Linked DNA regions of Oryzias latipes. The protein of the gene in region 2 interacts with the protein of the main gene of each other region in a biochemical or structural test. Links are inferred from orthologs where the notes say so. Each region holds a gene or a part of one and is shown on either strand. Other genes may lie near its edges.

Region 1 (3,650 bases), on a different chromosome or scaffold from region 2:
GAACACTGCAGTGTCAGCCTCACCCCCAACCCCCCCCCCCCCTCCCTCTTTATGTCTCACTCGGCGGCGCAGCCCCGTCATAAATCTGATCAGAGGGGAGACGTTTCCATTAGATGGAATGGCAGCAGAACTGAGATTGATGGGTAAAGTTAAATTGCATTAACCATGTAGTTTAAATATTTAGCATGGCCTTATCATAACTGCTCTTAACACTAAAATACAGCCCGCCGTGTTCAGCGGCGACAGCTTCTGTGTTGCACTGATTCTTGTCACAGGAGTTCATTACATCAAACACTTCATCAGCTGATTGAGGTTGGCACTCTTCCACAAACGAAGCATCGCCGGAGCGGTATTGATCGCTCGCCTTTGCCGTTTATCGCCTGTTTTTGTTCTGAAGGGCGCCGCAGAGGCTCCTCTTAACACGTCCGCGGCGGCCCCTCTCTTCTCACTGCCCTTGGCCCGGCCTCGCGTCGCCCCGGAGGCAAATGTTTACGACCGGCTCCTCGTTACCGAAGTTGGGGGGTCTTTAACGAGGCCAATTAAAACAATGGCTTCATCTGGGAGAATATGAAACGGGCCGGTGTTTATTGGAACAGAGATAATGGAGTCACTAAAGTCTTAACTCTCTCCTGACTCCTTCAACATCAAACTCTTGAGAAATGTCTGGGCTTTGATTTCAACCTGCTCTAACCAGGAAAACGCCCAAAAAACCACAAGAAAAAATGACCGTACCAAGCTAAAAACACTTTTTGTTGCCACTTGAATTATTTCAAAAGAATTGATATATTTTAGTGCAAATATGATTGTTAAACTAATCAGTGTCAAGATAATTAAAAATAAAGTTATATAATTTTCCTTTTATCAGCTTAAAATTTAGGTTTCAAAGCCTAATGGTCCATCGACGTACATCTACCTCCTTTTATAAGTCAGGGTTAAGATTGATGGAATTTGTCCTAATTGTCTGTTAAAGTATTGATTGGACTCCCCTGTGTCTAATATGAAGGAGGAAAACAAAACCATCATCAGATGTCAGACTGATCGCCGCTCATCCTTGGGACTTTGAATGGTTTCCCCCAAATTTGAGCAAATGTGTCTTTGATTTTGGCTCTCTGATAAAACTCTGTCCTAATTTTAAACCAGTTCACCCAGAACACTTTACAGCTTTGTCCTCGTTGTAAAATCACTGCGGTGGAAAAAAAAAAGGTTAAAGCTCAATAAAAAGGAGGCAGGAGCATGGTCTGGGGTTTTTATTTGGATGGCTACAGCCTGGTGGTGGCACTGTTTGGGAAAAAAGTCACGTATTTTTTTATTTTTGCTTGTGTTGCAGTTGCTCAGAAGATTGTGGCTACTAGGAAGAAGCAGCAGCTATCCATCGGGCCATGCAAGTCGCTCCCCAACTCCCCCAGCCACTCCTCTGTGTGTACGACTCAAGTGTCAGCAGTGCAACTGAGCCAGGTCAGAGGTCACACTCTCACTATGAAAAAAAAAAATTTTTTTGTTCTTTATTTTTTTTTTAAATGACAAATCAAAACTAGTTGATGTCTTATCCATTTCAAAATGGGGGCTTTTCTGTTGGTTTTATCTCCATGGTTACCATTTTGTTTTTGTGGCCACCTGGGGGTGAAAAACACAATCTATGGTTATGTCCAAATTCCCACCTTTACCCCCCAACTACTGAAAAAAACCATATAGTGTGGCACTATGTAGTGCCCTGAATTCTGACACCATGCTCACTACTTTTTTTTTGTTTTGTTTTTTTTAACGGCAGATATGACGTCATTGATTCCATGAAGTTCAAATCTAAATGATATGAGCGTTTTGCGACGATATTTTATGAATCAACCGTCTTCTGAAGATAAAAATGTTTATGGTTTACCAAAAAAAAAGCATTTTAAAACATTTTTTGGGCAAAAATTGTTCCAACGCAATGCATTGTGGTCTGTATTCGCCGATCTAGTGAGCATCGATGCACAGAGACTTCTGGGAAATTTCAAGGGCACTGGATTTTGGATTTGTAGATTCAGACAGCTCTACAAAATGGCAAACGCACTATACAGTGCACAATATATAGTGCACTATATGTAGTATACGTAGTGCACTATATAGTGCACTGATATAGTACATAGTACTATATAGTACATAGTAGTATATAGTACATAGTTCCTTATGTAGTAAGTAGGGAAGTTTTTTTGAGGAATCAGCAGAAGTAAATTGTTGGTTTTTTTTGTTAACCACGCCCACATTCCTAATGTGATCATATTGTATGTCATATTGTTTGTCTAGGTTGAGAGAAGGAGTCACGTATGAAATTTTCACAATATTCCAAAAAAACATGCGACACAACTTTTGTAAACTCTCCATGCTGACGCCATTGAAACCAACATTTTCTCCCCAAGTAGCTTCCCAATAATGATATAGAGTCGGGAGGCGATAGATCGAAATTCCCAAATTTGTCAAAGATGCTAAAGGTAGATTTTTATTCTTTTCAAAGATGGTAGCTTCTTTCGGAGGTCAAAGGTCAACGAAACTTCAGCTGGGGTTTTAGATTTAACCTGGCAGCTTGTGTGTGAAACTTTGCTCAAACAAGTTTGTTTTTTTACACCATATTGTGGAAAAATGTGAAAACGTTCGCACTTTGCCAAAACATAGTCGCCAAGCTATAGGTCGTCTTACTATGGTCATCCCATAATAACGTCCAAGCTACATATCTCTGTTTTGGTTTGGTTTGGGGATTTTTGAGCCCCATAAAAGATTTTTTCCTTTTTTGTAGCGCAGGGGGGTGGGTTTACTATCCCCAAAAATTCAATATCTGAGTGTCTGAATTTCTAAGATCAAATGTGCAGTGAGAAAGAAGAATAGCTGAAAGAAACATTCTGGTCCTTGCAGTTCTGCGTACCATAAAAAACATCTAAAAATGTTTTTGAAAACAAGCTAAACAAACGTATATTTAGGTTACTTTTTACCTTTGGAATCGATGGGTAGTCCCTATTGAATTCCGGTCAGAACAGTCCAGTTTGCCACAGAAAATGTAATTGAGTTAACACCAATGGAACCTCTGGTGAGCATGTCATTAAAAGAATATGACACCACACTTGAGCTGCTATGCAGAGTGGAGTACAAAAGACAATCATGTCAGACATCATGAAGGTGCTAAACATGATAAACACCCTCAAATCAGGGTTGAAGGCCTCCCAACTGGTATGTTTGCAGCTTTAGTGTGTGACAGAAAAGAGCAGTGATGCTATCATCACGCTCCCATCTTCATCCTTCAGTCCTCCATCGATTCCTCATTAAAGAGCCATCGCTCAGCCTCACCGTCCCCTGGGAGCCATGTTTATCTTCCCTCTACATCCTCTGCAGAGTCGGGCCTTCTGCTTGTGTGTTGACTCCCTAACAGGGGAGCGTTTTCCCTCCAAACAGCCCTAATCGTGACGCTCATCTGAAGCTCTCTGTTTTCTCTGCCCTTTTCTCCTCGCAGACGAGTAACGGCGGCGGCAGTTTGAGTGACTACTCATCGTCGGTGCCGTCCACGCCCAGCACCAGCCAGAAGGAGCTGCGTATCGACGTCCCGCCCGCCACCAACACTCCCACGCCGGTCCGGAAGCAGTCCAAACGCCGCTCCAACCTCTTCACGGTACATTGACAACACT
Region 2 (4,309 bases):
ATGTCGTTCCCAAAAGCTTAAAAACGTTTGTTTTTATATTAAAATTGACAAAATAAAAAAGAAAAGCCCTGACAGAGAAATATAGAGAGGAAAACCAGACGTGGAGGTTTGTCTCTGAAACCTAACTGTTACACCAACTGTTGATTTTCTAGGCAGGAAAAACTCAAATAGCCCTAATAGTTGCTGACGACTTTAATGTCAGGAAAAAGGAGGAGTCAAACAATAAACCCTTAGAAGAATTGAACAAAAGTATGAGTCATCGGTCCAGCAGCGTTCAGATCATCTTCAGCGCAGAAGTTAGGCCCCCTATAGGCAGTAATGCGCTCCAACAGTCGGCCCTTACCTTGAGTGTTCTGGAAGTAGTGGCGCCACAGCGGCCTGATTTTGTCCTGACCGCCCACATCCCACACCGTGAAGCTGATGTTCTTGTATTCTACCGTTTCAACGTTAAAACCTGCACAAATGAGGACAGGCTTAGTGGCAGACACGGATCTGAAAGGCTCCCCAGGTTACATTAAACAGGTCATAAATTATCATTTTAATTGGATTTCAAGTTTACCACAGAGTATCTCCATTGTTAAAAGCATTAATTGTCAATATCTTTGTTCATTACAAATTCATAAACTAAATCATTCTAAATGTCATTTTTTTCAATCTTTTAAAAATGTTCTCAGATGATAAGGCTGATAAAATACATTTTTAACTAAACGTTTAAATCAACACTAAAGCTACCAAAACGTGCAGAACAGAGATATTACAAATAAGCAGAGAAAAGCCCACGTGGAGCTGAAACGTCTCCGTTTTCATACGTTTATCTGAACTCATCCAGCTGAATGTGATCTGGGCCGATCCACAGATCGAGCTGAAAGAATTCACCAGGAAGCAACAATAACAGCCGTGAATAACTAGGATCAAAGGCAGCAAAATGCATCTCCTTGTAAAAATCTTTGGCCACAATATGTTTAGATTTTGTGGAAACGAGCTGAAAGTCAGCTCTGATGGCTGACGGTGTAAATGTTTTCTATCCAGACAGCCGGAGTATTGACTTAGACACACAATGGTTAACTCAAAAACCATGAAATACAGGTAAACAGTGATGAGTTCAGTGTCAGCTTGGAGAAACTAATTGAGAAACCAGAAGATTTGTGTTATTCAAGCACAGAATACTGCAGCAAAATGCATTGTATGCAGAAACAGAGAGGTTATGAAATTGCAATGTTTTTAGCAATCCACTGCTGTTACTGCTGTTTCTGTTGAGATCAGAACAGACTTCGTTCAACGCAATTTTTAAAAAAAATCCCGACAACAATTTTGGCGTAACCTATATATCATTAATATAACATTTTGCTTTTTGGGTTTAACAATATCTCTCTCACTAAGACAGTTTCAGGATGAACAGATCCATGCAGCGTTTTGACATGAAAAACGATCCATTGCAAACAGAAATCCTACCGATGGTGGGGATGGTGGTGACGATCTCTCCAAGCTTTAGTTTATAAAGGATAGTCGTTTTTCCAGCAGCATCCAGCCCAACCATTAGAATTCTCATCTCTTTTTTGCCAAAAAGGCCCTTGAATAAGCTTGCAAATACATTCCCCATAATGACAGAGCTGGAAAACAACAAAAGTAAATAACTACAACATTTTAGTACTCGTACAGAAATAGTAGAAGAAAACCAACACATAAATGAACATCATAACAGACAATAATAGTAGGATTGAAGCAACGCTGTCGTGTTTTAGACTCAATAACAGAAATTTAGAGATATAGAGTTAAATGTTCACTTTGGCTAAACTGTTTTACATCTGCACCATCAAAATAACTATTCAGACATATAGTTTGACCTAGAGTCCTAGTCATCTGTAGGTAATCAATGACAGTACCAGAGCATCGATGACCCTAAATATAATTTGGGAGGCATTCACGGTTTAAGGTAAATCTCCAGACTGATGTGCATAACTGCTTTCCTTAACGTGGGAGTTGTGAAGGTCTACATAAACACATCAGATGTGTTTTCATTGGGATTTTTAGTGAAAATGTCATTTATCAAAGTTTTTCGGCTATTAGGATCGAAACTCAATGTGGCCAGCATCAACAAACTAAATATTTCCCCTAACTTCTATCTCGACTTGACGTGCGAGCTCCAGGACCATAAATTGCGTGTTTTAATGGAGTCCGCAGCAAACTGGACGGACGAATACTTCGGACAGCCGGCTAACCGCACAGCTAACAGATGACTGGGGCCTTGTCAGTCAGTAAACGACTGAAGAATAGTAAAAAATAAAATAGCAGTATTTTCCTTTTACGGGCAGCAGTCATATATCAAATGTAACAGTTTGTTTTAAAGGAAATCAGAAAGTTTGTGCTGTCACCACCCATTACCAACTGATGGTTAGCTTGACTATAGGGCGGATGCTTCGACTTGAGCCTAGCCTGCTGCTAACGGCTAAAGACTGGGTTTGGTCCGTGCGAAATCATTCTGTCAACAACGAACAGGCGGTACGTATCCACGAAGTTAAAGGTTGACGTATAAATAAGCCCGTTGGTGTAATATGTGTCGTGTAAAGTGAGTATCTTTTACTCGTTTTTTTCTTGTCAGTCGATCCAGAAACCACCGTAGCTAGCTAGCTAGCCGCCGTTAGCTCGATGCCGCGTCACATTACATAGAGAACAGCATGACGTCACGCAAAACCACACCAAAATTTGATCATTTAGGTCGAGTTTGAACTCACTCTCATAAAACGGCATACAGAGTAAAAAAAGTAATTGGTTCTGGTGGTTTTTACCTTTAAAAAGACAGCTTGCTGGTCTTTAGGTTATCTTTCACTGTCACTCCAAAATGGCGTCTTGCGCAACCAGGGAGACACCGGCGTCGGGCACGGCCCACTATCAAGCCTCAGCCAATCACAGCGCGTACGGTGTACCAAATGTCCCCGCCCCCGCCCAGCTCTCCGTCCAATCAGCAGAAAGATCGTCTGTGCGTCGACGATGCACAAAATGTCGAGGAAGTTAACTCAAGTTCTTCAAGTTCCACCGCCGTCAACGTGACAGGAGGACGGTTCAGCCGCTGACAGCTGAGGGAGGGATCGAACATGCGGCACTCTCCAGCAGAGTGCACGAGAAAGGCGTACAATGATCATGACAAATAAAGGATATTGTCCTCTCTTCCTTGTTGTTAGGTTGAACAACAGGCGGGTTTTCATTGTGTTCAGTGTCTTTCTTGGGTTGAATTTCCTTTGGTGTCTTTTCTACTTGGATCCATTGTTCTTTGTTTGACTCTTTTTGTCTTTTTTATACATGTCAGTGTTGGTTTGCTTTTATTTATTAACGTTTTTTTTGTTTTTTCCTACATTCTCAGGTTCACATTAGGTTCCAGAGACACCAAAAACCTAAACCATCATTTATATGAGCTCACTTGTGTGGCAATGTACAGACACTTAATAAAATACATGGAAAAGTGTTTTCATTTTTTTATAATTCCATTTTAGAACTAAGCTTTCATAGAGTATAGATTCAGGGTCCAGGTTTAATTGTTAAGTTGTTGTTTTTTTTACATAAATTGAGGTTCCAGCTCATAAAACCCTAGAAAACAGGATTTCGCAAAATCCTGATCGAGTGGAGAAATCTGCTCAAATTCTGAATATTTCTTACAGTTTCACCATCATCTACTGAACTCAAAACACCAGTACAGGTTCCCCAAATGTCTTTAAATGGGTTCAGTTTGGTTCAATGTGGGAAAGACTTGACAACTAGAAGACCACCATAAATATCCCACCAGAGGTGGTCCGCCATGAGCAAAAGTAACAGCTGGTTATTTGGCTTGCTGAAGGTGAGTGATGAGTATTTTTTTTCTTTTAGGTATCACTGCTTCTGCCCCTCACTCTCTGCTGGATCGTTGCACTGCAAGCATTCAGTCAACTCACCTGCTCTGTCCTCTGCCTGCTCGCCTACCTGTCTGCTCGCCACTCAGCCGCGCTTCCAGCTAACCTGCCCAGCCATTCTGCTCTCAGCTCCATGCTGCTATGGCCGTTTTCTGCTCCTGTTTCCCTGCATCACCGTTCTGCCCCAAGCCTCATAAGCCCCTGCACCTCTGCAATTTTGGAACCATTTCCCAGAGACCCTCCTGGAGACCAGTTTTTTGGGTTGCAAAATCAAGAGTGCTTGTGACTGAGCCCTAGACTCCTGAGTTCCACCACGCTCCAACGAGCATCCTTCTCTTTTCTGACATCTGTGTCTGACTTCCATCCATTTGCTGTACAGAGGACTTAACTCCGCCCCCTCTCTGCTACCTGCGGCTCACACTCCTCAT

What was found. The genes of interacting proteins can lie anywhere in the genome.
Region 1: of the proteins of ADP-ribosylation factor 1 (region 2) and arf-GAP with GTPase, ANK repeat and PH domain-containing protein 1, one has a biochemical effect on the other in vitro, tested with the Homo sapiens proteins (2 studies listed by BioGRID, with this or other methods). The link is inferred for Oryzias latipes from reciprocal best matches to the Homo sapiens genes ARF1 and AGAP1.

What each region holds. Positions count from the first base shown.
Region 1 is NC_019860.2:10,865,861-10,869,510, forward strand, and holds part of arf-GAP with GTPase, ANK repeat and PH domain-containing protein 1, read left to right. Parts: intron 1-1,327; coding exon 1,328-1,455; intron 1,456-3,478; coding exon 3,479-3,634; intron 3,635-3,650. UniProt on the Homo sapiens protein: GTPase-activating protein for ARF1 and, to a lesser extent, ARF5. Directly and specifically regulates the adapter protein 3 (AP-3)-dependent trafficking of proteins in the endosomal-lysosomal system.
Region 2 is NC_019877.2:22,747,997-22,752,305, forward strand, and holds the start of ADP-ribosylation factor 1, read right to left. Parts: upstream 2,919-4,309; 5' UTR 2,787-2,918; intron 1,611-2,786; 5' UTR 1,601-1,610; coding exon 1,453-1,600; intron 455-1,452; coding exon 344-454; intron 1-343. UniProt on the Homo sapiens protein: Small GTPase involved in protein trafficking between different compartments. Modulates vesicle budding and uncoating within the Golgi complex. In its GTP-bound form, triggers the recruitment of coatomer proteins to the Golgi membrane.